Linked DNA regions of Cricetulus griseus. The protein of the gene in region 2 purifies or fractionates together with the protein of the main gene of each other region. This does not show direct contact. Links are inferred from orthologs where the notes say so. Each region holds a gene or a part of one and is shown on either strand. Other genes may lie near its edges.

Region 1 (15,525 bases), on a different chromosome or scaffold from region 2:
CAGAGAGACAGAGACAGAGAGAGAAATCCTTCTTAACTCATAGGCCCTATGAAAACTTGCAGATGAGATCTGACTCAAATGGGGGCATAGTTTGTTCATTCCTGTGTTCTTCCAACCATAGGAAGGCATAGAATTCATAAACAAGTAATACTATAGTACCCCAGAAACTGCAATTAATAAAGGTTATATAATATTTGTTCTAAAAATGCTATTTCAAAAAAACTCAGTTTCCTTAATAGGTAAATTATGCAAATTTTGGTCAATTTAAAATTAAAGGTAATATCTTAGATCATTAATAATATAAACACTTATTAAGATTTTTTCTTCACATGAAAAACAGTTGGTTATTACCTTGCTACATTGGGCCCTGTAGTCTTTCCTGGTGGGGCTGCATTCCGCTGAGGAGAGTAGAAATTCTCATACATGATGGGTGCTACAATTTTTAAGACAGAAGGTATCAGAAAAGGGTAAAGGTTGGGGTTGTCTCACAGTTGGTAGAGCACTTGCCTAGCATACACAAAACCCTGGCTTTGTCACCCAGTGCTTCATAAGACAGGTCTGAGTGCACATGTCTGTCACCTCAGTGCTCAGGAGGTGGAGGCAAAAAGATCTGGAGTTCAGTGCCATCCACAGATGCACAGCAAGTTTAATTTTAGCCTTGAATACATGAGACCCTGTCTCAAAAAAGAAAAAAAAGGTATAAAGACCTAGAATGCTCCTCAAGAGCCTATGTGTTAAGACTTTGTCCCCAGCTTAGTGCTAAAGGAAGGCGACAGAACCTTTAAGAATTATAACCCAGTAGGAATATACCAGGTCAGGCCATTGGGGGCATGCCCTGGTCTCCTCCTCCTTCACATCTCCTGGCTGTACAATGAACAGTCCATTGGGCCACTGTCTGTCATAGTGCGCTGCCTCAATACAGCCTGCATCAACTGACTGGACTAAAGCCTTGAAAACTCTAGCTAAAGTAAACCTGTGTCTTACTGGCCGATTCACATCAGGTATTTGCTACAGCAGCAGAAGCTGACTAATACAGTGTATCTTACATCCTCTGTGACCCAAGACAAGAAAGACTAATACCGTTGCTTAACTGTCCCTCCCACTGTGCCACTCGGCTCACCGGGTGGGGTCTGTCCAGTTTTACGCTGGTTCACAAAATACTGGATGTCCTTCTCAATGCTGCACATTTCCAGACTCTTGCGGACTTGTTCGTACATCTGACAAAAACAAGATAAAGCATTATGTAGAAGTTTATTGATGATAATTATGGCACCACTCAACTTTCATGAGCCACCAACTCTTTTTCGACTTTGTTTTAAGAGTAGAAGACATTCCCAAGTCCAAAACTCACATAAGGGCACCCTTATAGTCCATTTGTTCTATTGCCTTTTTTAAATGAAAAAAATAAGATACAAGGAAATACTTCTTTCTGGGCAGACCAAAACCCTGGTTACTTCTTTTAAGTATAGATGGAATAAAGAAACTACATGCCAAGCCCCATGAGACAAGTTCCATGACCAAGTCTCAGTGCCACACACAAATGCAAACACAACTACTTTAATTTGTGGATAAGTTCTTCTCAGTTCTATAGGTTTCCTGGATATCTGATCATTCTTCTAAAGTCATGTCCCACCTAAGATCAGGGCTATTTCTTAGCTAAGGCTGTGACAACCTCACCTGGTGTCTTTGATATCTGGGGACCCAGTTACTATTGCTGCTCACAAGTTAATTCTGGACAAGCACCATGAAGCCACAAAAGCAAATCCTCACCCTGGGTGACCATCAACCTGCCATGGGTCAGTCTGCTAATACTTGGTGCAGGAAGTGATGGCACTCTACACTGGAGCTGTCTCTGGGACTCACATTCTTCTGTGACATCTGTCTTCCACACACAAAACTGTGTTTGGGTTTCATTATCTGTTGTCCACCCCTAACTTAGAGAGTAACCGTGGTAAAATGGACTGGGAATCAGGAAAATGAAAGCAATACTCAAGTCACTATCTCTCTGTACCTCAAATAGAAGCAGGAAGTGGGGAGAGGATGAACTAATAAACACTGATGGTTCTTTTCTGCTCTGATGATTCTAACCTGCAGAGCACAGCCCTCTGTGAATGCCGATGACTTACTTCATCATTTGTGACACATTGCTGTGACAGCTGATTTACATGTAACCACAATGCATTCCGGAAGAAGCTGATTCGCTCACATTCTTGGGCCTCAAACGCCTACAGAAAAACAATTACATGTGTATAAATACATAAAGAAGGGACATCCGTTTAGACTGGCTATGACTTAAACAACATAAACCTACATTGAGGAGTGGAGTTTAAAAAGTAAAGCAGAAAAAAGTACTTAGTGTGGGCATAAAGTTCCTGAGTATCAAATTGTAGCGATAAATCAAACGAGATCAATCAAATAAGATTTTTTTTAAAAATCACCAGTGTTAGTCTGGGGGTACAGCTCACTGGAGTGGTGCTTTGCCTAGCATGCATAAGAAACCACAAAGGCCCACTGGACCTTACACCAAGGGCATCCCAGGTATCCATGAGGGAGGAGAAAGAAGGTGTGGAGAATAACCTTTAGGATGAAACATGGGACATGCAAACAACTTCAAAAAAACATGACTGGCTGAGAACATATCTCAGTGGTAGAGCACATACAAGCATGAGGACCTAGGCTTGATATTGATTCCCAACACACACACACACACACACACACACACACACACACACACACACACACAGAGGCACACACAGGCACACACGAACACACACAATACATGCACCCACACGTGGGCGCACACACAAGCACCCATGTGCACATGCACATCGAGGGAGACAGAGTCAAGGACAAAAAGAGAGAGTATATCTCTGGCTAAGAAGGGAGAAGACTGTGCCAAAGGGTGTAGAGAGGCCAGCTGGACAGCATGAGACTCCTTGACAGGGCAGGGAGCAACTCCTGAAGGAGAGCTGTAAACCAGCACGCCTAATTCTTGAATTCACTGACACTGCTGGCTGCCACCCTGAGAGTTCCTGACTCCAGAAGGCCTGGACTGAGCTGAGAGAGCCCATATTTTTACCCAGTCCGAAGATAATGCTGGTTCTGCTGGCCCCGGGACGCTGTTAAAAACTGACATCAGAAAGTTGAGGAACTTTCCAGCTTGTATCTTTTAAGTTTTCTCTAGAAAATTATGGAGTCCTGTGTATTCCCCTTAGAACCTAGCAAGTACAAGCCTGACTCTCGGAATAATTACAGTGCTCAACCCACCACTAACTGATGTATCGGGATCATGCCTGCGCTAAGCAACCATTAGCTTTGGAGTGACCTGGACAGTGAGGTCAGGCTTTGGGGGGCGGGGTGGCAAAAGGATGAGGATTAGATGAAATCATTCCAATCCCTTCCAGTCTTCACTTAAATTCTCAGTTTCTAACTCATCCATGGGCTCGATGCCTGAATGAAACACGAAGTGCTTGTTAGTAGTATTCAGGCATCTGTACTGCCTGTCCTTAGGGTACTAACAGGATTTGCCCTCACCTGCAGCCACCTGTGCCTATTCACTGTGTTCCCTTTTAAGTGGGCCCTGCCCACCTCCCATCTTTCCCTCTTTCTTTCTCTCCCTCTCTCTGTTGCCCCCCCCGCCACTCCCCCACCCCTAACCCCACCCTGCTTCCTCTCTCCTGCTGCTCCCTTCCCTGGAGGCCAGTCTCCCCCCCCCTTCCCCTTTTTTACGATCCCTTTCCCTAATAAAAACCCCTCCACTTGAACCCTGGCATCTCATGGCATTTTTCTCTCTCACGCTGCTTTTCTTAAATTACAGCACTAAAATGAGAGCAGATTCTCAGGTTCTGGAAGGAAGATGTGCTCAGTCTCACACTGCTTCCAGTCCCAGGTACCTACCTCACAGGCTTTAATGTGCTCACTCTGCCAGTCTTCTCGGACCTTCTCTAGCATGTTGATGTGCAGCATGTATGCTTTGTCTGCAATGGGCAGGGGCTTGATTTAGAAACAAGACAGGCTTGCTGGATTGTAGCTGTTCCTTTCTGATGCCCGTTAATCCTACATATTCTTAATAATGTAAACAGCCCCCAACCACTACCACCCCCGTCAGAGCACCTTGCCCCTCACCTGAATCTTCTACTGCAGTCTTTGAAGTTGCCAGTTTCACAAAAAGCTGTGAGGACCAAAACCAGAGAGAGATTAGGAAAGCCTATCCCACGGGCAAACACTTGTGAAAGCAATAGTGCTGGAAAAGCAAGATCTGGTCCAAGCCCTACATACACTGCACTTAGAAGCAGATCAATCTTTCATCTTCTCAGCATCAGAAAACAACAATCCTATGTCTTCCTACAGACACATCTCCTTGCCCTCAAGCTGTGGATAATACTATATTCAGATGATACATTATTAATTTGTTTTATAGTTTTTGTGTGTAGGAGTGTTTTGCTTGCATGTATGTCTGTGTACCACCTTGTGCCTGGCACCCAAAGAGATCAGAAGTGTTGTATACCCTGGGACTGGAGTTAAAGATGGTTGTGAGTGGCCATGTGGATTCTGGGAATCTTAACTCAGATTTCCTGGAAGAGCAGTCAGTGCTCTTAACTGCTGAGCCATTGTTCCAGACATATTACTAAATGTATTATTTAATTTACTAATATTATTATTTCAGCCCATATTATTAAATGTAGAACCCTCACCCACAAGAAGTATTCTGTCAACAAAGAATACATGAGCTGAGGTTTGAAGACATTTAAAAAGAATATGAAGCCAGGTGGTGATGCACACACCTTTAATCCCAGCACTTGGGAGGCAGAGACAGGCAGATCTCTGAGTTTGAGGCCAGCCTGGTGTACAAAGCAAGTTCTAGACAGGCTCCAAAGCTAACAGAGAAAAATCCTGTCTCAAAAGAACCAAAAAAAAAATCAAGCCTCCCATTCCACCCACTGTTCTCCAATGTGTGCTTCTCTGGTACTTTCAGTCAAGACGGGGCTGATGAAACCTATAGATACAGCTGACATGAACAAGGGGGAGCGCATGGACCCCAGACTGATATCTGGGAGGCCAGCACAGGACTGATCCAGACCCCTGAAGGTGGATGTCAGTGAGGAGGCCTCTGCACTCTATGGGGCCTCTGGTAGTAGATCAGTATTTAGCCTTGGTGTAAGAAAGGATTTGGGAGCCCATTCCATGTGGAGGGATGCTCTCTCAGCCTAGACACATGGGGGAGGGCCTAGGCCCTGCCCGGGATGATACCACAGACCTTGGGGATCCCCCATGGAGAGCCTTACCCTCCCTGGGGAGCAGAGAGGAGATGAGGTAGGGGGTTGGAAGGGGAGAAGGGGAGGGAGATGGAGGAGGGATTGACATGTGAAGCAGGCTTGTTTCTAATTTGAACTAATAAAATAATTTCCTGGGGAAAAAAAGTGTTACAAGGACTTTTGGTTTTACTCTGAAGTTTACAAGCCAAAAACATTGTTGCCAGAGACTTGGGATAGAAATCTCTTTTTATTTTTTGAGATGGGATTTCACTCTGTAGCCCAGTCTGGCATTAACCTCGTGACCCTCCTGCCTCAACCTCCTGAGTCCTAGAGCGACATGCATGTGCATCATACCAAACCCTAAGTTGGCTTTAAACTGACACAGGTGCATCTCTGACTCTTCAGGTTGTAGACCATGCTAGGTACCTTTTCTTGCTGCCTTGGGTTGGCCACGTTGGCACTGCGATGGACAGCCTGCTCCGCCTCATCCTTGTCCCGGCACTTCTGTTCATAATTCTTCTTGGCCTTTGTTTACAAACAGAGGGTGAATATGGGTGAGCAGGGTAAGAAATGGGACTTGAAGTGTATATAACTAATTTTTCTGATTTTTCCTTGTTCTTGAAATTTTCATACAATTATACACAGCAATATGATTGTATGCACCCCCATGTATATAACATCTAAGATGTGTAATCCAACATCTGTGTGACATTTATAATCCTTAGAGTCTATGCAATCACTCAGTCACTGGAACCAACTTCCTCTCGTTCTCAACAGGCATCAGTATTCTAGAGTTCCCAGCCACTGCCATGCACAGCAAGGGGCACAGCAATGCTATGTCTCTTCCACTTTGGTCATGTTTCTTTTTAAAGACTTCAGTTCAACATAGGTTAAAGAATTCTGCACTGAAACCAACTGGCCCTGGGCTTCTTTTTTGGTTGGGAGACTTTTGATGATTGCTTATATTTCATTAGGGGTTATAGATCTATTTAAATTGCTTATTTGTTCTTGATTTAATTTTAGTAAGTAATACCTATCCAGAAAATTGTCCATTTCCTTTAAATTTTCCAATTTTGTGGAGTACAGGTTTTCAAAGTATGACCTGATGATTCTCTGTATTTCCTCTGTGTCTATTGTTAAGTCCCCCTTTTCATTTCTGATTTTGTTAATCTGCATATTCTCTCTCTGCCTTTTGGTTAGTTTGGATAGAGGTTTGTCTATCTTGTTGATTTTCTCGGAAACCAACTTTGTTTCATTGATTCTTTGTATTGTTTTCTTTGTTTCTACTTTATTGATTTTAGCCCTCAATTTGATTATTTCCTGGTGTCAGTTTAAAGTAGCCAATGGCCTATCTAACACCACTACTACTACCAGGATTATAGAATCATTTCACAAACTCTAACAATTGTTAAATCAAGAAAATTAGTTTGTTTCAGGTCTAGAAACAAAGCCTTAGCTTGTTTAAACAACACAAAACAAAGCTATGGATCAAACAATTAACAAATAAGTCAATATGATAGTTATACTTGACTAAGAATGAAGATGTCCTTTCTTGGCTAGAGAGATGGCTCAGACACCAAAGGCTTAGCTCACAACCAAAAATACAACTTATTTCTTGGTTTATTTCTCTTCAGCTGCCTGTGAAACAGAGATCAAGTGTTGGAACCAGACTGCAGAGGTTCAAATCCGGCCTCACCAATATCTGTGTACTTGTTTTGTTTTTAATAAATTCATCTCTGTGTTTTTGTTTCCCCATCTATAAACCAAGGATTCTTATGTCCAAAGGTACATGAAGACAAAATAAGACACAAAATGTACTTTTATAGTTCTTACATGTGGACATGTGAAATTGAGCCCACAGAAGCAGTTTCATTCAATTGGAGATGATCTCCAAAGGACAGTGGCTTCTTTGGAGAGGTGGTTTGTGTTTATTATTATACACACTTCCCTATATTTCTCATAAGTAAGTTTCCATAATTCAACTGTGGTTATTCTTTCATGAGCTTTCTCTATATGTTGTCTGTTATGTTATATTAGCTATATACTCTATAATTACATAGCATGTAAAATTTTATTATAGAAATAGTATGTTCCTGGTTTTCATAATTATATGAAAATGCATAATAATCATGTAAAAAGACCTGTATAATAATTCCTTTTATGCAACACCTTGGAGATCTCTCTCTCTACCAAACATGATCACTATACCTCCACACTTCCTTGAGGTACTGAGAATGGATCCTAAGGCTCTGAACTCTAGGGAAGAACTTTGCCACTGGCTATATCTAAGCCCTTGGTTTTCTGAGTCAGGGTCTCATTATGTTGTTCAGGCTGGCTTTTGACTTGCTATGTAACCCAGGCTGGCCTCAAACTCATGATCCTCCTGCCTCAGACACCCAAGTGTTGGGATTGTCTATATGTACCACCACCCTGCTATGGCATCTAAAACTCCAAAGCATTATATATAAAACCAACCTAAGATTCTGAGAGTGAAAATTCACAAAGACAAACTGGCTAGTAACCTTTGGCCAAAGAGCAACCCAAGAGTGAGTTTCCTTGCCTCGTACATTATAGATCCAGTTCCAAGAAGCAGGTGGCTCAAAAATACAGTAACAACTCAAAATATTTTTTACCTATTCTCCTTAGTCAAAAGACTAGAAAAAGGCTAACCTAACAAAAACATAAACTTAAAAAAAAAAAAACCAGTCCCCTGATACTAAACACAGCATAAATAACAAGGACTCAGACCAGCAAGACGGCTCATTGGGTAAAGGTACTCACTGTGCAAGCCTGTTGACTTGAGTTTGACCACCCTAGACCCACGTAAGGTGTGGAAAGAGAAAACTGACTCCACAAGGTTCCTCTGACCTCCACATGAGTGTCATGAGACACACACACACACACACACACACACACACACACACACACACACACCAACAAAATCAACAACAATAAACAAACTAGGGCTCACTTGCACAAGATAGTAAAAGCCAATGAGAGAGTCTAGACTCCCATGGTTACCACGCTGTAACACCCAGATCATCTGAAGAGAGATCAACAGCAACAGGAACTGCAGTGTCTCTTCTTCAAGACAGGAGCAGTAGTCCCCATGTGAGGAACCTGAACTTCTACCCCTCCTTGTCCAACTTGACCTACTGGACCTACAGTAGTCAAGTCCCTTCCCTCCTGGGGTAGTAGCAGAGGAAGTTTAGTGGAAAATGGAACATCTGATGAGGACAAAGGGGAACCTGAACTCTTAACCCCAGATAAGAGTAATGAAGCAATTGTATCACCTCCTACTGGCATGCTGTCACAGGAAACCAGCTAAAACATGGCTTAAATAACCCAAACCTTTTTCTGTAATACCCTAAATATCCAAATCAATTGAGTATCACCCAAACCAAAAACTAGAAAAAAAAATATCAAACTGAATGGACAAAGACAATCAAGATGACAAACTTTAGAATTGTCTGACCAACAATAAGGAGGCCTTTGCACTCCAGGGAGTCTCTGGTGGTGGATTAGTATTTTTCCCTGGTGCAAGAAGGGACTTTGAGAGCCCATGCCATGTGAAGGGTTACACTCTGGCCCTGGACACATGGGGAAGGGCCCAGGACCAGCACAGGAAGATTTGGTGGACTTTGCAGAGCCCCCGTTGAGGGCCCTACCCTGCCTGGGGAGTGGTGGGTGGGGGGGTTGGGGTGGGGGAGGAGGGTTGGGGGTGAGGGGAGGGAGAGGGAGAAGGGACTTACAACTTGTTCCCTAACTAGAACTAATAAATAAATCAAAAAAAAAAAAAAAAGAATTGTCCGACCAAGACTGCAAAGAATCCTTCAAACAACTACACACCAAAACAAACCAAAGCAAAACAGCATGGCAAAGATACAAAAAAAAGCTAAGGAAAGAAATAGAAGCAAAAAGGAAATCTCGGAATTGCAGAGTAGTTTGAAAATACAAAAGCCCGATGAAGAACAGAAGAGATAGTGGACTAAATGAACAGTAAAGAGTAAGCATCACCTCATGTGACCAAGAATATATTTGGTATTTTGTCACCACTGTGATCAAGAGGCAGCTGGTGGGAGCAAGGATTTACCTTAGTTCACCATCCATCATGGCAGGAAAGGTATGGTGGGGTCCACGGCAACAGAACCTATTCCTCCTCACTCCTCACAGCTCAGTGGATTGGACCAGGAAGTAGAGAAAGGGAAATGCTGGAGTTCACCTGGCCTTTTCCCTTTTCCCCTTTTAATTCAGACTCAGAGCCCAGGCCATAGATGTTGTTCATCCAGTAAAATGAGCAACAATCGAGGTTCAGAATCACCATGAGATAGAAAGTTCAAATACAAGATAAATTGTGTGTGTGTGTGTGTGTGTGTGTGTGTGTGTGTGTGTGTGTGTGTGGTGATAAATAGGATATGTGTGTATATGCATGTAGTGTGTATATAGTGTGCGAATATTTCTATGTGTGTGTGTCTCTGTGTGTATATATGTGTGTGTGCACCTGTGTGTCTGTGTACATTGTGTGTATGTGTGTGTACATTTGTGTGTCACATGCTTTTGTATCACATCCTAAAATATTTAAGTGAATTGCTTACTTTTATAGTTGCTATGTGAACTATTCCAGCAGAGATGAACAATACCATCAAATACCAAGAGACCAAAGAGATGATTCTACTCAAATCCAGCTTGGTGGACTAATGAGTTTGACTGTGGACATTTATAGGAACAAGGGTGAAAGGTCACTTACAGAAGCATAAACAACTTATGGGTAACTACACCGCAGAGGAAAAGTCTGCCCCTACCTAGGGCTGTTATCTACCCGGTCCTTGTTGAAGGCATGGCCTTGTAAGGCCCCTTATCCTGCTTGTGACCACTCATTCGCTGCCCTGTGAGCCTCCCTTTCCTGCAGGAGAGAATCTTACTGGGTCCAGTCTTACTAGGGATGTTGGTAGTCACAGATATTCTGACTTAGAAGGTAATAGTCATGCCATGTCCAGAGGACCGAGTTCTACAGCCAGCTCACCAAAAACAAAACAGCACTGCACGCACTCTCCCATCTTCAAGCTTCCCAGGACCTTGGCAGGAAGGAAAGCCAAGTGTTTCCCTTAACAGCTCCCTGATAAATGGCATCATTGAAACATCATTTCAGTAGGAGCATGTTCATGCGCAAGCACAGAATTCCCAATAATTGTCACCATTACAAAAACAGCAGCAACAAGTGTGACTCACATCCATGGTTTTCTTGAACTGTGAGTTCCTTTGTTTGTGGGCAGCATCCATTATAGTTTCTGTCTGTGAAGAGAATGCAAACACTGTCAATAAAAACTGCAAGTTCCTGCTAACAGCAACTTGTTTTGAGGGCTTAAGCATTCAACATGGGTAATCCAGTTTAGCCTTCGTATCACCCAGAAGCGAAATATGCTATCTACAGTCTCTTCGTCACAAATGGGGACAGTACACAACAGAGACTAAACTCCTTGCTCAAGAAGTCACAGGAAATTAGTGATGCTGCATCTTAATTAGCCAGGCACTCCCACGCAGGGTCCTGAATGCTCAAAACACCACCGAAGACTCACTAATCACATGGAGTGCTTTCTTCAGCAAACCTAGAATCAAGGACTTTGGTTTCAAGAAGGAATTTTAAATTTTATTAAAATACTATTTGTATTTTAAAAACAGCTTTATTCTGAAAGCTATGTCAGCACAGACAATTAGGAGCTCAACCTCCACATCTGTGGCCCATCAATGACAAACACTTTACAACAAGTCACCAGGGGAAGAAGGAGGTATCTGTGGCACCGCTAATGGAAACAATCCTCTGCCTCATCTAAGCCAGCAAGGTAAACTCCATGTAGTTCACCTGAGCATGGTTTCTTCATTGCAGTTGCGATGGTGGTACTTTTGTTGGCCAAAACAATGCTGCTCATAATAAATACCTACCTCTCAGACACAGTTTTTCTAGCTTCCATTCATCTATCACTTCTATATGAAGCATTCTGTGTAAGTACTACTTCGCCATTTTCCTGATGGCAATGAACTTTGTGAGCCCAAAGAAACAAAGTCAGTGTGGTGGTCTGGATGACAATGGCCCCCAGAGGTTCGTATATTTGAATGCTTGGACTCTAATTGGCGGAACTGTTTGGGAATAATTAGGAGGTGTGGCCTTGTTTAGATGTCTCAGTAGATAAGGGCACTTGCTGCCAAGCCTGATAATCCAATCCTCAAGACCCACACAGTGGGAGAAGAGAACCAACTCTTGCAAGTTGTCTTCTGATGTTCACATGTACACCATGGCATGTACATATATGCATGGACATGCTCATGCACTTACACATGTACACACGTACACACACACTCACACACACATGCACACACAGAGAAAAGAAAAATGAAACTTCAAAAAAGAAAACAGGACTAGAGTGATGACTCATCAATTAAGAGCACTTGTTGCTCCTGCAGAGGACCTGGGTTCAATTCCCAGCACCCACGTGGTGGCTCATAGCAGCTGCATCTCTTACTCAGGAGCATCTCTGACACTTCCTTCTAACTTCCACAAGCACCAGACACACACATGGTATGCAGACATAAGCAGACGAAACACTCATATATGCAAGATAAGGACTTGTTTGTTTTTTGGGACAGGGTCTCACTATGCAGCCTTGGCTTTCCTGGATCTTACTATGTAGATCAGGCTGGCCTTGAACTCACAGAGATCCACCTGCCTCAGCCTCCCAAGTGCTGGGATTAAAGATTTTTTTAATCTAAATTTAAAAAAAATAAAGTTATATAAAACATCCTATTAAAAATTTATTAGGCTTTTAAAACTAAATCAGTAAATTATATGAGGAGACACAGCTCTATACTGTATTTGCATAGCACAGCCAAGAACCTGGATTCAACCAGCAGCATAAGAGAAAAAGAAAGAGTGGAAAGAAAAGCAAACAACTGACTGGTTCTTTTGATGAGTGGAAACAGCTCGATTTCTAAGAAGTGGAAAGCCAAGGCATGCACTGTGACAATTTTAAAAAGGGAAGTTAACATTGACACATTTTCCCCTAAAAGTGTTCAAAAAAAAAAAAAGGTACCCAAAGCCACCCCAGAGTCCATTGTGAAATGCATAACTACAATTTTCTAAACTTTTCAACGTTTTGAAAGTGACTCCTGCTGAGAAGGGAACTTGAAGTGAGCGTGCAATGCTCTTCTGCGCCTCTCACTCCAACCACTTGGCATGTGTAACATTAGCGGGAAAGTTCCAGAAGCTGTGCAGAGCTAACAGCTCTCCCCACAAAGAACAGGGCTTCTGAAGACACCTGAGGATGTGAGGAAACTGCCCTTTTTTAGTGGAGTCACATATGCATAGTTCATTGACAAAGGTATTATGCTTCTTTTATTTTTTAACTGTTCCACATAAGACACGATCTCTCCTTAACTTTTTAGTTATTCTTTCCTTCCCTTCTTTTTGAGACAAGGCTAAACTAAGTAACTCCCACTGGCCTAGAACACATTGTGTAAACCAGGCTTGGTCTTGAATTTGCAGAGACCTGCCTGCCTCTGCCTCCAGGGTGTTAAAGGTGTATGCCACCACACTCAGCTTGCATTTTTTCAAATTGTATATCTGTGCCTGTCTGTGTGTGCTCATGCAGTACCCATGGAGGCTGGAAGGATCTAATACTCCTGGAGCAGATTTCCAGATGGTCATCAGCCATCTAACATGAGTGCTGAGAATGGAACTTATATCTCCTGCAAGGACAGTACTCAACGGCTGAGCCATCTTTACAACCTCCAAGTTCCTTTGCTGTCATTTGGGTGGCACATGCCTTTGATCCTAGCACTCAGGAAGCAGAAGCAGGTGAATCTCTGTGAATTCCAGGCCAGCCTGGTCTATGTAGTGAATTCTAGAACAGCCGGGGCTATAGAGAGAGACTCTGTCTCAAGAGGGAGCAGGGGAGGGAGAGGAGAAGAGAGACAAAAACTGTCAGGACTGGAGAGATAACTCAGCAGTTGAGAGGACCCACATTTGGTTCCCAGCACCCATGTCAGGTGGCTCCCAAACTCCTGTAACTCCAGTTCCAGGGGATCCAGAGCATCCATGTGTACCCACACACGCATGCACAGACATGCATGCATACACACAAATTTAAAAATTAAAAAAAGAACCCTTTGTGGAACAGGTACATGGGAGCGGTCAGACGTGGGTAGTTAAGAGAGGCTGGAGAGAGAAGGGGGCTGATGCAATTTTATTTCAATTAAAAAAATAGGTAAGTAAGGGGCTGGAAAGATAGCTCAACAGTTAAGAGCATTGGCTGCTCTCCCAGAGGACTAGGGTTTAATTCCCAGAATCCACATGGCAACTTACAACTATCTATAGTTCCAGTTTCAGGTGATCTGACACCCTCACACAAGCGCACACATAGGCAAAACATCAATACACATTAAAAAAATAAAGTATTAAAACATAGATAATTAAAAGGTAACTTTTAAAAACCTGGTGTCAGGAACAGTGGTGCACACCTTTAATCCCAGCACTTGGGAGGCAGAGACAGGGTGATCTCCATTAAGTTATAGACCAGCCTAGAGTTATAGAGAATTACAGAACTACATAGGGAGACCCTGTCTCAAAAAAAAAAAAACTGTAATTTCCTCAAAGACATGGCAGACTTGGCAATGTCAGACAAAAGAATCTGCCATCCAACGAGTACAGCACACACAATAATTCTGCTTGGAAAAAGGCTTTGTGACAGATGCAACCTCAAGGGTTGAGAGAGCGTATGAAAGTGTTTGATACAGCGTTCCTTAACCATCTGCATCTGTCCTTCCTTCATGCTAAGAGGCATTGCACAAGCAACAGCTGAGAAATAGGAAGAGGCAGTGGTGTGCAGAGAGCAGCTCTTAAGCCTGGCGCAGCAGCACAAGTCTGCATCCTACTACTCAGCAGGTGGAGGCAGTAGGTTCAGCTATCCGGTGAGCTGGAGGCCAGCCTGGGCTCCATGAGACCATGTCTCAAACAAACAAAGGGAAAAGCAGCTGGTGAAATGATGGCGGATGTGAGACAGGGAGGTTCTTAAGATGCTGTGGGCAACCCGACACATTAGTGCCAACCCAGACTCCAACTTGAAACTGTAGGCAAAGTCGCTCATCCTGAGAGGTGAGGACACAATCAGCCTTAACACTGGCCATTGATTGGATGCACAGACTGTAAACACAACATCAGGTACAGTCAATTCCAAAGAGACCTCCAGGAAGAGTGGCAGGTCCCCAAATGTCCACAGAGACCTGAATAGAAGCCTTTGGTGTCAGCCTTCCAGTCCTGAAAGACATTCTTGAAGGGCTCTACTTGACTAAAGGATCAGCCTGCACATACAGGTTTTTCAGGAACAAAACAAAACAAAAAAAATAAACAGAATTTTGGCTGGAGTTATTTCTTTTTGTTGTTTTTTTTAAGATTTAATTTATTTATTATGTATACAACATTCTGCCTCCATGTATATCTGCACACCAGAAGAGGGCACCAGATCTCATAACAGATGGTTGTGAGCCACCATGTGGTTGCTGGGAATTGAACTCAGGACCTCTGGAAGAGCAGCCACTGCTCTTAACCTCTGAGCCATCTCTCCAGCCCCTGGAGTTATTTCTTGATTCTTCTAAATCCTCATACATTTACTACTTTTATCTTAATGACTCTCATTCACTCCCATCACCTTTCCTATAGGTGAAATAAATCCCATCAATGAAGAGAGTCTCATGGGGGCTGGAGAGATGCTAAGCAGTTAACAGCACTGGCTGCTCTCCCAGAAGACCTGGGTTCAGTTCCCAGTACCCACATGATGGCTCACAACAGTCTCTAACTCCAGTTCCAAGAGATCTGTTACCCTCTTGTGGCTCTGTAGGCACCAGGCACACATGTGGTACACACACATACATGTGGGCAAACATGCATACTCATAAAATGAAAATTAATATATCTTTAAATAAAAAGGAGTCCCTCCAGAGCTGCTTTGAAGACAAAACAACTTGAACTTCCCAGGGCCACAGTTTCTCTAGTTATAAAACAGAATTATGCCAGGCGTTGGTGGCGCACGCCTTTAATCCCAGCACTGGGGAGGCAGAAGTAGACAGATATCTGTGAGTTCAAGGCCAGCCTACAGCAAGTTCCAGCACAGCCTCCAAATCCACAGAGAAACCCTGTTTCAAAAAAACAAAAAAACAAAAAAAAAAAAACAGAATTATTCCATTATATTATGAACTTCAAGGAAATCATGAGTCTTCTCCG
Region 2 (15,525 bases):
AGAAGAAGGTTAGGAAGGTGGCTGCAGAGTCCAGTCAGAAGTGAGCAGCAGCCTGGCTCAGGGTAGAATCCAAGGTAGACCTGGCAGGACCTGCCAACAGATTACCCGGGAGTCTCCCCATCCAGCTGATCCTAGAGACATGCTCTCTTGGACTCAGCACAGCCCCTCTTTATATTCAGATGGGGCAGCTAAGACCTGTACGGCCCTTTCCTGAGCTCAGAACTGACCCTATCAACTGCAAACCATCCTGGCTCCAGCCTCCTGGAGAGAACTTTGGTTTCTCTTCTGTCAGGATGAACTGTTTGTTCTTCCTCTTTCTGCAACAGCTCTGTTTCCAGGAATTTACTGTTTTCTTTGATGGTCTTTGAGACTAACTAATTCAATAGTTTTGGCTTTGAGATTGACCTATGTACAACATGACACCCTGTCCCTCCTCTGCCCTTCCTTTTGTCACTATAGGGTGGTCATTCCCAGTCCATGCTTTAAAAAAGGCACCCTGACCCTTCTCTGCTGCAAGCTGACTCTCAGCATGATCAGCCCCAACTTTCCTCTTAGAGTTTAGATTCAACTGAGGGGCTGAAGATTCCCAAGGTTTCCTCCTCATCCCCACTTCCTGTTTGCAGAGCTATTCATGGCACAAAGATCTTCAAGCATTTGACAATGCCAACAGACACTGTGGCCAAATAAGGCATGTTTCATACTCCTTTAAAAAAAATATTCGAAAGGCAATGACTTCCCAGGACCACTGTGAACCTGGGAGCCTGGGGCTGATTGTGGTCTGACAGTCATGAAGCACTGTGTAAAGCTCTTGGACTGAATTTTCAACCTGCTCCTTACTGAACTCTCTTAACAATCATTCTAGTAATGTGTGCCCAGCTAAGCAAGTTCCTGGTAAGAGCCTTCATCAAATTCAAGACAGCCTTTCCAAGAGCCTGTCGGAAAGTATAACCAGAAGTGACTAGACGAACAACTGTCATATGGATGCTGACTTGTTTGTGGACATCATGGGGGGTGGGAGGCAGGGGCAGGGGCAGGGGCAGAGAATTCTGCATATATTTTATTCTTGTCTTCCCATCTCAAGAGAATCTACTTTCTTGCATCTCAAGAAAGAAGGTTTGGAGTTCTGTCTTTCTGGATGGCGTACTATTTATCTGACTGGGTGATCCATTTCTCTGACCAGCTGGAGATCTTTCTTGCTCATTGGGAGTTTACGTGAGAGTCTAGCTATATGTCTCTCTAGCTGGAGACCTGCATGTCAATTCAGGCAGGCATCTGTCTGAGGGTTTTGTCAAATTAGGACTCTGTCTGGGGTTCACTTTCCAGTGAAGTCTTCTGTCTCACTAGTGTCTATCCAGAAGGTGACAGGTCTGTCACTCTGGGTTTGGTTCATCTGTCTTATTAGGCTAGAGGTCTATGTAGCTGGCCGCAGGTGTGTCTGCCAAGTGGCAGCCTGATTGTTCTTCTCAAGGATGACTGTCTACTACAAACTGTGAACTATTGTGTTCAGTATCTTGGATAGGCCTTTCTGCCTCCTCAGGGTCTGCCTAGACAGATTCTAATTTGTTGTGCCCCCACCTGTATGGCTGGAGATGTATTTGTACTCATCTGGGAGGCTTGTCTGCTCATCTACAGTATTATGTCTGACCAGCTGGCATCCTGCCTGGTAATCTGGCTAGCTTGTGTCTATCTATCTATCTAGCTTGGAATTTGGCTGGCAAATTTTGACTCGGGATCCATCTATCTCTATCCGAAGGTAGTTTGTCACCCAAAGGTCCAGCCATTATGTGGAGTCCCTATCTAGATGAAGGCTGGAAGTCCATCAATCTGCTAGCTGGGATTCTACCTGAGACTATGACAGGTCAGGCTAGCTGTTCATGGTCTGAATAGTGGGATGTATCCAGACCATGCATGCCCAACTAGGGATGTATATCTGGCCAGTTGACTCAACTATCTGGCAGCTATCTGACAAAAAGGAGAAATGCCAAAGTGTCCACCCAAATAGGAGTTCTATGTAGGAGAAGCTCCATCTGTCTAGACAATTGGGAGTTTAGCAGATGACCTGTGATGTTTATACAGTCCCATTCTGTGTATGGCTGGAAGGTCAGTCTGTCTGCACAGTTTAGCTGGGATGTCTGTCTCTCAGTTCATCTGGAATCTGTTTATGTCTGGAGTTCTGTCTAGCTAGAGTCTATCTGGCTCTCTAGCTGACAGAGGGAGGGTCTGACTTTGGGGGACTGGGATCACTGGCTAGGACTGGTCTTAAAGGCTATTGATTGATTGATTTCTCTCTGGCTGAGGTCCATCTGTTTTGCCATAGACAACCCCTCCAGAGGTGTGGGTATTTAGGGATCTAGCTCAATGTCCAAATTTGGTGAACCATATGTTTTCCTATCTAGAATCTCCTTTCTTCCTTTCTTTCTTTCTTTCTTTCTTTCTTTCTTTCTTTCTTTCTTTCTGCCTGTCTGGGGTTAGTCCACTTGGATATAGCTAGACTTGACCTGGATCTGTCTGAATAGCATGAGGGCCATCGACCTATCCTCAGGGACCATCTGCCTCATCCCCCTGTGGTCACCTGATTGTCCGGGCAAAGGAGGTCCCAGTACTGAGGATATATCTCTCATTCTGTGGGGAGGGTTCCATCTCTGGAAGCTTACCAATAGATTATTATATCCTCTTGGGTATGTGCGGAGGGGGCTTGCAATGCCTACTCCTGATGTTTTTTCTTAATTTTTCTCAGGGTAGATTCACAACCAGCGATCTCCCACTTACCTCTCCAAGCCTCGGGCTTTGATTGCTATTAACCATTGGGCAAAACCCTTATTTTTTCCACCCTGAGAAACTTTTGTTTTGATGCAGACCCATAAATCCTGTTCCCAGCACAGCGCACAGCAGCATTTTGGCTGCAGAAGTCCAGCCCCTACTGAGCTTACCTGGCACAGCCCTCACACCCTTGTCCACTCCGCTGGAGGATCCCGTGGCCCTTTGGGTCTTCCAATGCGCAAGTTGAAGCCTGAGAGAAGGGTGCCATGCAGAAGTTGAAGCGTGAAAGGGTAAACTCTCCGAAAACCCCATCCGTGCATCCCCAGATCCTGGTATGTGAAGGACAGCCTGAGTCCCGCACTCCCAAACTCCTGGGGCTTTCCAAAACTGCACCCTGGGCTCTAACTGACTTACCGAGGGCACCCGTCTGCGCTCCATTTGTTACTTCTTCATAGGCATCAGGCCCGGGAGGGTTTTGATCCGCAGGAACTGAGGGCGGGAGAAACCCTACGGGTCAGCTCAAGCAGCCTTCTGGAGTCCCAGTGACTCTAGAGCTCAGCCCCAGACTTGTCTTCCCGAGGTAGCCGGTTGGAGGCGGAGCCTTGGGCGTCGCCAAGTCCGGAGGTCTGTCTTTGGGGCCCCGCTAGACCCAACCTCTCAACTGAAACCTACCTGACATGGGGTTCACTTTCGGGTTTGAACCCCGACAGTCAAGAGTCCCGGGATGAGGCCAGAATAGGTCTGGAACTGCCGCTTAGACCCTCCATCCCCACCCGGAGCAGGTGGGGAACATGGGAACAGGTGCGCGCGGGTCGCCCTCACCCCGCATCCCGGGCGGGCCCCGACTCACCATGGCCGGGTGGTGTCGTCCCCCTCGCGTCCTCGGTGTGTGCCACCGGCCGCTGGGAACGCGGAGCCACCTGGCTGTAGATTGGGGCGTCCGCGCTGCTAGGCACCCGCGTCCCCGGCCCTGTGCCCGCGGGGGCGCCACGCTTCTGCACCACGGCGTAAGTGTCGGCCATGGGAAGGGTCGGGGGCCCGGGCACCGAGATGCTCCTGCAGCGGGCAGCAAGCAGAGGAAGTGAAAGCGCCGAGCACAGGGAGAGCAGGGGAGGGAGCAAGCTCACCCCAGGCTGCCGGCTTCCTTCCTGCTTGCCTGCCCCAGTCCCCAGAGCAGGAAAGGAGGGAAGGGGCGGGCCACCCGAGGGCTGAAAGCGGGGTTCCGTGTCCCTAGTACCCATACAGCAGGAGGGGACGGGGACAGATTGCCAAGTGGAACTAGTGAAGGCCCAAGCGAAGGCAAGCGTGTGTGTGTGTGTGTTACCCCAAAACTCCTACATGAGATGGGAGACAGACACAGGTGAGTCCCCCACAGCCTGACAGTATGCAAAATGAGACTAGACTGTCTCAAAACACGTAGAAGGTGAGGCCCCATGCCTAAGGTTGTCCTCTGACCTCCCAGTAGTGTGTACACACAAGTGTATACACACACACACACACACACACACACACACACACACGAGAGAGAGAGAGACAGAGAGAGAGAGACAGAGAGACAGAGAGAGAGAGAGAGAGAGAGAGAGAGAGAGAGAGAGAGAGAGAGAGAGAGCCTAAAACTTATTTGCCTAACTAGTTACGGTCTGGAAGAGCAAGGGAAAGCTAATCCAGACTGTAGAGGTTGGTGGGTCAGAGAAACAGTGGGCTGTGAGTGTCAGCCAGTACCTGAGAACCCCGCCTGGAGGGCGGGATGTGGCAGACAGGGCTGGGGAGGTCCTGAGAGATGAGGCATCCTTGCAGATTGGGGCACAGTTCTGCAGGAAATCAGGCGGGGAGGGTGGTGAGGCCACACTCCTTATGCTGGTCACTGTGGGTGCTGAGGTAAGCTCATGAGGGGACAGCCTGGGGAAGGAGCCCTGAGGAGGCAAAGGCGCCTTTCACAGTGAGTCGGTCCCTGTTCTCAGGAGGGGAGTGAGAGTGTTGCCCAGGAGCTCCTTTGTACCTCCTTGAGATTCTGGTAGTGGGGGCTGGCTTTCTGGAGAGTACGGGAGAATAACTGGGCCACTGTGTGGTACAGGAACCTGTACTGCTCCTGTTGGGGTGAGTGGTCGGTCACTGAGAAGGGAAACCGGGGAAATACAGAAGCCTCCCTGTGTCCCCGGGAACGGGAAGGTGGGGCAAGCACACACCTCTGTCTGCACCGCAGCAGGCCGCTGTTTCCGCATCTCAAGGACCACGTCGAAGAGGCTGAAATTGGGTGGGATTGTCTGGGACAGAGAGGGGGAGTGTGAACAGGCCGTGGTAGGCAGGTGTGGGACACACCGCACACAGAGAAGTCTGCCTCATACCTGGGTCAGCAGCAGCTGCCTCACGTAATCAACAGCACACAGGACACCTGTTCGTCCGCAGCCGGCACTGACAAGCAAGAATCAGAGCAGGCTCCATCACCGCCTGCTCACAGCGACTTTTTCCCCGTTCTTCCATTCTTGCTCTCCTCCCCCTTCCCATAGGTCTTGCTGTGTTGCCCAGGCTGGCCTGGACTTCTGGATCTGTTTCCTAAGTGCTGGGAAGGCAGGCCTGCTGAACGGTACAGATAGATGCCACAGCCCCTTCTACATGGAGAATTAGGAGCTGAGCTGAGGGAGATCCCCTGCAGCATCTCTTAAATTGAAGGATCCCTAGATTATAACTTCAAATAAAACCTTTTATGTACACTAGCATGCACTCATATGGTGTGAGTGTGTGTGAGAGAGAGACAGAGACAGAGAGAGAGACAGAGAAACAGAGACAGAGAAACAGAGACAGAGGAGACCAGAGATCAACATTATATTTGAGTCAGGGTCTCTTACTAAACTGGGTGCTCACAAATTGGCTTGACTGGCTGGCTAGCAAGCCCCACGGATCCACATGTCTACCCTTCACCCAGCCCTTGGGTTACAGGGACAAGCCACCTGTCCTGGCTATTCCTGGGTGCTAGAGACCTGAACTCAAGTCCTTGTACGGCAAGTACCTTACCCACTAAGCTATTTCTTCAGAGCAAGAAAACCCTTTTTATTCACTTAGGCTTGTGACATATCAGCTATATGCGTACTCCCCAGTAGGCAGCCTGTGCTCGACAAATGCTAACGATTCCAGCTCCAGCTCGTTGTATCATGAATATGTGGCTACAAGTTTCTCCAACGAGGCAACTGAAAGGGGAAGGCTGGTTCCAAGCCATAACCTCTCTTCCTTGCTTTTCTCACCCTCTCCGGTCTGCCTCCCCACACCCCCAGAAAGCCCATTTCCCTAAACCTGCAGTGGACACAGAGGGGTCCAGGACCAGCTCCTTGGAGACGATGGGCTTCCTCCACCATGGTGAGAATGTGATCAGGACTGCTGGGAACCCCGTGGTCAGGCCAAGACATATACTGTAGCTGGCGCACACAGCGGGATTCCTGAACAGAGGATAGAAAAACATACTAGAGTTCTAAGCATGTTCCATTTAAATCCACCAGATAAGGCTCCGCTGAAGAGCCCTTGCATATAGCATGTACAAGGCTGTGGGCTCCATCCCCAGCACCACAAAGACAAACAAACCCACTGCGTTATAACCGAGGGGGATGAAAACTGATTACTATCGTGAGCGCCCATTTTACAGCCGTGGAAACAGCTCCTCCCATGCAAGAGCCCCTTCACCTTTGCCCTTTTGGTACCTTCTGGAATGTAACCTGGAGGGTCCTGAGAATGATGTCTGCATTCACTGGTGTCTCCTTTGTCTGAGCATGTGAGAAGAGGAAAGAGAAAACAAATGAGAAGCAGAGACCTTCAGCGACACATTTCATATTTCTAGAAAGCAAGGGTTTGGGTTTTGTTTTTGTTTTTGAGACAGGTCTTGCTATAGAGTCCAGGCTGGCCTCCAGCATGAGATCCTCCTGCCTCAGCTTCCCATGTACTGGGATGACACGTGTACTACCAGGCCTGATGGAAGCAAAGCATTCTTGATTAAAGCTAAATACTAAAAAACATTTAAAAAAAATTCTCTGACCTGTGCTGCTGTTCTTACATTCCCGGGATCATAGATTTATTTCCCATGTGGTTAAGAGACAGGAGAGCTTGCTGGTCATGGCTTACAATTGAGACTCTGTTAGGCTAGCTCACTTGGTGTGTCCTTGTTACAATTCTCAATCCTCAGTGAACTTATGGGTTTTGTTATCTTGTACATTCTCATTACATATTTTTTTTAACTTCAAAAGAATATTTTAAATGGCTTCACAGTCAGCTAGGTGGTGGTTATACATGCCTTTAATCCCAACACTCGGGAGGAAGAGGCAGGCAGATCTCTGTGAGTCTGAGGACAGCCTGGTCTACAGATTGAGTTTCAGAACAGCTAAGGCTACATGGAGAAACCCTGTCTCAAAAAAAAAAAAAAAAAACAAAATCAAAAAAACAAAAAATAAAAACCAGGTTTCACAGCCAATGATATTTCCTTTAGGTAAGTATTATGTTATTGTAAATATAGCCATATATTTTTAATTCAAATAAATTTCTATACTGATAATATTTATAGATTTTCCTTTGGCCCAAACTTCTCCCAAAGATTTCAAGAAAACTTTTGTCAGAAAGGGAAAGAGGAATGACTATAGAAACCAAATTAATCCATCCATATTCAACACAAGAGAGTTCTATTGTTCTGAAATAGAATGGCCTCATTGCATCTGTTAATGGTTAACTTCCTCAATGAAGGACTACTTCCTCCAGTTCTCTGCACATGGTAAAGAAATAGGAATTGCAGAAACCTGAACAGGTAGATTTGGTTACAGAGGTAACAGTAGACATTGTCAAAAGTGCTAGGGCCTGGGAAGAACACTTACACAGCATGTATGAAGTGTTGATTCCCTTGATTCTCTCTCCAGCAACACACACACACACACACACACACACACACACACACACACACACTCATGACAACAATAAAATAATAAAAGTGAAAATAAGTTTTAAAAGCTTTAAGTTGTGTTCTGGGGGCATGCATGACAAACCCAGAGTATTCTGGGTTTCCCACGGTGTAAGAGAGCTGTGAGAAAATGGCTCATCCTTCCAGGTCCAGCCCCAGGCTTCTCATTCTGTACATCTTCCTTGAGATCTCCCACACCTCCCAATGCCTGCAGAGCCCTCCTTGTTCCCACCCACCCCATCCCTGCCCCAGCTCACCAGGGTGATGCAGAAAGGCCCAATCTGCAGAGGCTCCTGCTTCTGGGCCCAGTACCTTTCACACTTCTTCTGCAGAGGGAGGGAGGAAAGGCAAGAGTGAACAGGGCGGTCACTTCCAGAGTGACAAGACACCCTAAGTGTGACGTGTGGAAGGGCCAGCTGCTGGGGTTGTAATAGAGCCCAGCTACAGAGTGGGACATTAAACACGTGCACACTCCATAGGGTCAAGCTTTTGTATTTGTATTTATTTATTTATTTTGTTTTGTTTTGTTTGTTGTTGTTGTTGTTTTTGAGACAGGGTTTCTCTGTGTAACAGCTCTGGCTGTCCTGGAACTCACTCTGCAGACCAGGCTGGCCTTGAACTCACAGAGGGGCAAGCTTTTGATCATACTGGGAGAAGATGCTCAGGACATCTTCCTACGGCCTGGAACTAGAACTAAGTCATAAACCACTGCTTCTCAGCACAGATACGAGCGCTGTAAGGCTGTGGTCACTAAGTGGACTACTGCCTTGATGTGTCACTAAGCTGTAGAAACTAAAGAAGCGCAGGTGATGTCTCAGAGAGGGCAACACAGAATTTTCAGGGAAGAGAGAGCTACGCAAACAAACCAGGGAAACAGAAAGGGTCAGATGATAAAATATCCAAGAGATTTGGCCACCTTCCTAGAAAAGTAAAACACTTCAACACAATCTGACACTGAACTATGCGGCACTTAAAACACCCAGCATAACAATGTCCTTGACAAACAAAGATATAGTGACATGTGACTTGTTACCAGGGAAATAATGAAGGAGCAGAAAAAGACCCAGAAGCAACAGAGGAAAGAGGCAAAGACCTTCAAATAGCAATATAAATAGTCAAAATGGAAAGATGAATAGAACAAAGAATGAAGTGTGAGATGCAAAACCATTCCTAAATGGAATTCTACAACACTTGAAATTCACTAGTAGCAGGTTAAACCCAAAAAGAAAGAAAAGTGCTGAACATGAATACATTGCAACAGAAACAAAGCAAAAAGAGAAGATAGGAAAACAAGAGAATCAGTCCTTTGTGGGACACAACAGGTGATACCTGGAGTCCAGAAGAGGAGAGATGGACAGAAAAAAATTTAATTAAAAAATTAATTCACTATTTTATGTGTTGGGGTGTTTTACCTACATGTATGTCTGGACACTAGGTACATGCCTCGTGCCTGAGGCTAGAGAAGGGCATTGGATCTCTTGGACTGGAGTTGCAAATTGTTGTGAGCCCCCATGTAGATTCTGGGAATTGAACTTGGCTCCTCTGGAAGAACAGTCAGTGCTCTTAACCACCGAGCCATCTCTCTAGTCCCAGGGAGAACAGAAATCATACTTGAAGAAATAAAAGCTGAAAGTTTCCCAAAGCTGATGAACTAGAGGCTAATAAAGTTGATAATCTGCACTGAGGGGGGAAATACATAAAGAAAATGATGTTGAAGCACACCATGACCCAACTGACAAATAAATGAAAGAAAAATGATAATAATAAAAAAGAAAGAAAGTTAATAATAATAAAGAGAAAAGTCTTAAAAGCAAAGCAAGTGGGATGACAATTTCTTTCAGAAATCATTTTTTTTATTTGTTTGTTTTTTTGTTTTTTCGAGACAGGGTTTCTCTGTGTAGCTTTGGAGCCTATCCTAGCACTTGCTCTGTAGACCATGCTGGCCTCGAACTCACAGAGATCTGCCTGCCTCTGCCTCCTGAGTGCTGGGATTAAAAGCGTGCGCCACCAACTCTCGGCTGTTCTTTCAGAAATTCTACAATCCAGAAGGCAATCATGTGATATCCTAAGAATATTGGAATAAAAAAGAAACCTTGTGCTAGATAGTTAGTTCAGCTGGTAAAGTTGCTTGCCACCAAACCTGACAACCAGAGTTTTAGCCCCAGGTCCCACATGGCCAAAGGAGAGAAGTAACTCTTGAACAGCTGTTCTCTGACCTCCACACACACACATGGGCCATGGCACACTCATATTCCCCCCTCAGGTAAATTAATAAAATAGAAACCTTGTCATACACACACACACAAAAAAAAAAATGAGACAAGGGTGCTTGAGAGATGGCTCAGAGGTTAAGAGCACTGGTTGCTCTTCCAGAGGACCTGAGTTCAATTCTCAGCAACCACATGGTGGCTCACAAGCATCTATAATGAGATCTGGTGCCCTCTTCTGGTATCCAATCATACGTGCAGGAGGAACACTGTATATATAATAGATAAAGATCTAAAACAAAAACAAAAACAAAAAAAACTAGGCAAATTCATTACATGCAAATCATGAGGAGAAGATTCTCATATAAATGAAACAGGACACTAGATAGAAACTTGAATGTATAGAAAACAGTAAAGAACAAAGACAAAAGCAGGTATGTGGCTACTTTAAAACATTTCTCACATTTTTGCCTCCTGTAAAAAACAATCTAGTGGCATTTGCTAAACAAGTAAGGCAGAATCAATACCAACCCTTCACACATCCTTGCAAAAACAAAACAAGAAAACCTGAAGGAGCATGAACATGACTTAGCACACTAAAGCCGAGTATGATCCTACCCAAACCAGGGATCACAAGGAAAACAAAGTACCCAACAATGTCTCATGAACTTAGAGCCCAAATTCTCAAGAAAATACTAGCCAACTATTATACATCATGACCAAGCAGGATTAATCCTAGGAATGCACAATTTTTTGACAATGAAAATCTACTAGTGTCAGAGCTGGGGAGATGGTTTGGTGGGAAATCCAGCACTTGCTGGAGATCCAACTTTGGATCTCCAGAGCATATGCAATGCTGCACACAGTAGAGTGTGTTTATAATTCTAGCATTCTTTCAAGACAGAAGACACAATCCCTGGAAGCTTTCGGGTTAGTGACAAAGCAACAGAAGACCCTGTTTCCAACAAGGCAGAGGGTAAAGACCAACACCAGAGGTTGTCCTGTAACCACCACACACACTCATGCTATGACTCACCACACACACACACACACACACACACACACACACACACACACACACACACCGGGAGGGAGGGAGGGAGGAGGGAGGGAGGGAGGGAGGGAGGGAGGGAGGCAGGAAGAGACAAATGATTAAAAACAACCAGTTGGTGTCAAATATCATATTAATAAACTACATAGCAAAAAACACTGGGTCATATGAATAGATGGAGGGGCAAAAACCTTGACAAACCAACATAGCTTCAGGATAAAAACACGCCTTCAATCCCAGCAATAAGGAAGCAGGGGCAGGTGGATATCTGAGTTCAAGGCCAGCCTGGTTGACAAAGTGAGTTCCAGGATAGTAAGGGCTATGCAGAGAAACCCTGTCTCAAAAAAAAAAAGATTTATCTTTATTATTTTCAATTGGGGAGGTCATGTGTATGTGAATGCAGGCGCCTGCAGAGCCCAGGATGGTTGGATCCCCTGGAGGTGGAGTTACAAGTGATTGTGAGCTACTTGATGTTGGTGCTAAGAACCAAATTCTGGTCCTCTGCAATAGCAGAATGCACTCTTAACCACTAAGCCATCTCTCTATTCCTGTGAGTGGTTTTCTTAATGAGTGGGAAGTGTAAAATAATGACTGTTGAGCTGGAGAGAGGGTTCATGGGTAAGGGCAACTGATGAACAAGAATGAGAATCTGAATTCAAACACCCGGTACCTACATGGGAAGACTGGGTTGCACCTGTAACCCCAGCACTGTAGAGGCAGAGGCAGGAGGATGACTGGGGCTTGGTTGCAAACCTAGCTCCAGGCTAAGTGGAAGACCCTGTCTCTAGGGCAACAGGCAGAAAGTTGATAAAGCTGATAAAGCAGGATACCTGACATCCTCCTCTGGCCTCCATATGTGTGTGCAAAAGCACACACACACACACACACACACACACACACACACACACACACACACACACACCACACACACACACACACAAATAGGAAGTGTTAGTGAACATATGGAGAAACTCAAACCCCTAGCTGGTGGAATCATTAGAGGTATAGCCACTGTGGAAAAAAAAAATTAAACAGCAATTCTACTGCAGAGTTACATTAAAAGAACTAAAAGTAGAGGGTGCTAAAAAGATAGCTCAGCAATTAGGAGTGCTTGCTTGCTGCACAACCATGAGCATTGGAGTTCAGATCCCGGAGCCCATATAACAAGCCAGGCATCCTCTGTATACCTGCAGTCCCAGCTCAGAGTGGGCAGAGACAGGAAGATCTCTGGGGCTTGCTGGCTTCGAAGCTAACTGGGAAAATTCAAGCACTGAGTTCAGGGACATATATACTGCTTCAAAAGGAATAAGAATTCAGACAAAGTGTCACAAGCCTTTTAAACCTAGCAATGTGGCAGGAGCAGGGGGCAGGGACAGGTGGATCTCTGTGAGTTTGAGACCAACCTTGTCCACACATTGAGTCCCAGGCCAGCCAGGGTGACATAGTGAGATGTATGCACACGGGTGCCACATCCATAACCACACACATGGGTACACTGACACACAGACACAAGTACACACTGACACACATAAGTGAAGTAAAACAAAACCCAGAACCAAACAGATAACTGTTCACCAGTGTATGCAAACAGCATTATCCAAAGTAGTCTAAAAGGTAGAAGCAGCCCAAATGTCTATCAACACATGAGTCAGTAAAGGAAATATGACATAAAGCAATGGCATAGTCAGTCTTAAAAAGAATGAAATTCTGATGTGACAACATGGACACACCTTGAAAACATCAAGTGAAATAAACCAGAAACAGAAGGCAATTCAGGGGAAAGAGGGGCTTTATGCTGTGTGTGTGTGTGTGTGTGTGTGTGTGTGTGTGTGTGTGTGTGTGTGTGTGAATGTTAGATGTGTTTGGATGCCTAACAAGGCCAGAAGAGGGCATCAGATCCCTCTGGGGCTGGAGACACAGGCAGTTGTAAGCTGCGTTCTGGTCCTCTATAAGAGCAACAAGTACTCTTAACTTTCAGACATCTTTTCAGATCTTAAAAGGCAAATTTTATGTTTATATGTATTTTTATATGTTTTAAAAGACCCAATTAGAGACTCCTTCGTATTCCCAACAATGGCTATACAGAGAAAAAAGCAGGCAAGATGGCTCATCAGAAAAAGGCACTTGTTGCCAGGGACTGACCTTGTGTTCAGTCCCAGGAGCCACATGGTGGAAAAAGAGAACTAATTCCCAAAGTTTTCTCTCACCTCCATTCCACAGTATACACATGCACGCATCACATGCCCCACACCCAGTAAGTGAAATGTATTTAAAAAGAGAATAACAAATGCTGGCGAGGACCTAACGAAACCAGAGTTATCATGCATTGTGGATGAAAACGCAACCTGATGCAGCTACGATGGAAAACAGTTTGTCACTTCCTTAAAATGGAGTTAAAAATAGAGTTCCTCCATGACCCAGCAATTCCACCCCATATATACTCGAGAAACGAAAGTTGATGTCCACTCAAAGACTTGCATATGAATGTTCATACTAGGGTGATTCATTGAAGCCAAAATACTTGAATAACCCAGCATCTACAAACTGCTTAGAGGAGTGAAATGTAGAAACATTCAATGGGGCACTATTCGTCAACAAAAAGGAGTGAACCATGAACACACTGCTACATGCACGAGCCAAAAACACAAAGAGAAAGAAGCCAGGCCCAAAAGACGCAGGCTGCCCAATTCCACTGTATGTGAAGCAGGCAGAATAGGCAAACCTGCAGTGATCGGAACTAGACTAGGGAGTTGCCTGTGGCTCTAAACATGGGGTGTGACTGCTAACGGCTTGATGGAAATGTTGATGGTCTCCTAAGTTGCCCAAGCTGATTTCAACTTTCCATCCTCTCACTTTGGCCTCCTAAGTACTGCAAGCAGAGGAGGGAGCTGCTATGACTGGCTAAACAGGTGAACTGGATTCCAGTAAAAAGACATTAGCTTGTGTAGCAAAAACAATAGCTTGTGTAGCGTAACCATATTACTGTCATGTGTATTTCACATTTAGAATTATCCAGCGCATTGAGGTGGATAAGAACTGTTGAGGTAGAAAAGGAAGGAGTTACAGGTGGGCGTGCTGGGGAGCAGGAAGCCATGTGACTACCCAGGTAACTGAGCAAGCAATGTCTAAGGCAGAGGACAGCCATAGCACTGGCAGGAGCAGAACCCTCTCCGGCTCATCTGAGGAATAGCCAAGACCAGCATATGTAAAGCAGGGAGGAGGACAGAAAGAGCAGAGGTGAAACTGTTCATTTCGGGTCCTCCACCATGTCATGGGCTGGTGGAAAGCCCAGGCTGACAGCACTGAGGGGACAACGCCATGATCAAAAGCAAAAGGATCAAGGCAGCCAGGTGGTGGTTGAGCACTCCTTTAATCCCAGCACTCAGGAGACAGAGGTAGGTGGATCTCTGTGAGTTCCAGGCCAGCCTAGTCTACAAAGTGAGTTCCAGAACAGCCAGGATTGTTACACAGAGAAACCCTGTCTCAGAAAAACAAAACAATGAAAGCTCAAGATAAAACTATGACTAGCGGCTTTTGCAGAGCTATAGTGGAGTCAGCCAAGGACTGGGCCCAGGGTCCTAGGGACAAGAAGGAGACCCCAAAATTCCTTCTCCCTCCTCCCTACACAAGCCTTCCTTGCATGCTGGGAGGTTGAGGGTGCATACCCGTCCATTCTCTGTCTCTTGACAGGCCATCAGGATCACCTAGACAAGGAAGGGGGCCGTTGGTAAGGAGAAACAGGAAAGAGGGAGACCCAGAGCCATGCCCCTTTGTCCCTCAAAGCTGACCTTCACCCGAAACTCCCAAACCAGGCGCCAGAAGTCCAACAGAGTATGAGGCAGGGGTCCTTGTGTTGCGATGTAGGCCTGGCTTCCATCTGTGCCCTGGGAAAGACCCATTCATTTACAAGATCCTGAAGCCCACCCTCCCCACCCTTGCCCAAGCCACCTCTTCCCTAGTTACTAGCCTGACCCGGATGAAGTTGGCATTGATGTAATCTCCATGTCCCTCCTCCTGCAGCAGGGAAAGGATAACACGCGTCTCATCATCTGCCAGTGGGTGAGACACATGGAGAGATGTAGGCCAAGTACCCCAGGCGAAAGCAAGCAGGGTAGCAGAGCACTGTCCCTTGTGGCTTCAGGGAATAATGCAGCTGCCTCAAGTATTGGGGGGGGGGGTTAGAATGCTTTGGGGAGCTCTTGGGGCCAGCAGTGGGTAGCTTCTGCCACTGGGGCTCTGCCACCTAGCATTCCTGAAAGTGGTATTGACTCCCTATCCACTGACTTACATGGCACTATGTCTTTGTAGCGGTTCTTCTTCGTGTTCCCAAGCCGACTGCCGACCTTAGTGGAGCACACACCTCCAGTCTTCCAGGCCACTGAGCGGGCCTTAATATCCTGGCAGAAGGCACCATGAGTCAAAAGAAGAGAAAAGGCAAGAGAGAAGAAGAAAGAAGCCAGGTCAGAGTATTGGGATGCTGAAACATCCAAAGAGTTCAACAGACTATGAAAGACTAGTGCAGATCCATCAGCAAAAGGATCTGTGTAATAATATCCAGCAACATAAGCCGGCGTTGG

The links.
Region 1: the proteins of Ptpn18 (region 2) and Pstpip2 purify together in Homo sapiens (affinity purification with mass spectrometry; 4 studies listed by BioGRID and IntAct, with this or other methods). This does not show direct contact. The link is inferred for Cricetulus griseus from reciprocal best matches to the Homo sapiens genes PTPN18 and PSTPIP2.

The regions. Positions count from the first base shown.
Region 1 is NC_048595.1:162,161,077-162,176,601, forward strand, and holds part of Pstpip2 (proline-serine-threonine phosphatase-interacting protein 2), read right to left. Parts: intron 10,548-15,525; coding exon 10,485-10,547; intron 5,781-10,484; coding exon 5,682-5,780; intron 4,172-5,681; coding exon 4,126-4,171; intron 3,978-4,125; coding exon 3,898-3,977; intron 2,226-3,897; coding exon 2,127-2,225; intron 1,218-2,126; coding exon 1,121-1,217; intron 434-1,120; coding exon 352-433; intron 1-351. UniProt on the Homo sapiens protein: Binds to F-actin. May be involved in regulation of the actin cytoskeleton.
Region 2 is NW_023276807.1:13,554,207-13,569,731, forward strand, and holds part of Ptpn18 (tyrosine-protein phosphatase non-receptor type 18), read right to left. Parts: intron 15,346-15,525; coding exon 15,237-15,345; intron 14,998-15,236; coding exon 14,921-14,997; intron 14,833-14,920; coding exon 14,737-14,832; intron 14,653-14,736; coding exon 14,614-14,652; intron 8,017-14,613; coding exon 7,948-8,016; intron 6,513-7,947; coding exon 6,450-6,512; intron 6,192-6,449; coding exon 6,049-6,191; intron 5,173-6,048; coding exon 5,106-5,172; intron 5,025-5,105; coding exon 4,947-5,024; intron 4,850-4,946; coding exon 4,760-4,849; intron 4,674-4,759; coding exon 4,483-4,673; intron 3,817-4,482; coding exon 3,611-3,816; intron 3,250-3,610; coding exon 3,175-3,249; intron 3,011-3,174; coding exon 2,943-3,010; 3' UTR 2,931-2,942; intron 1-2,930. UniProt on the Homo sapiens protein: Differentially dephosphorylate autophosphorylated tyrosine kinases which are known to be overexpressed in tumor tissues.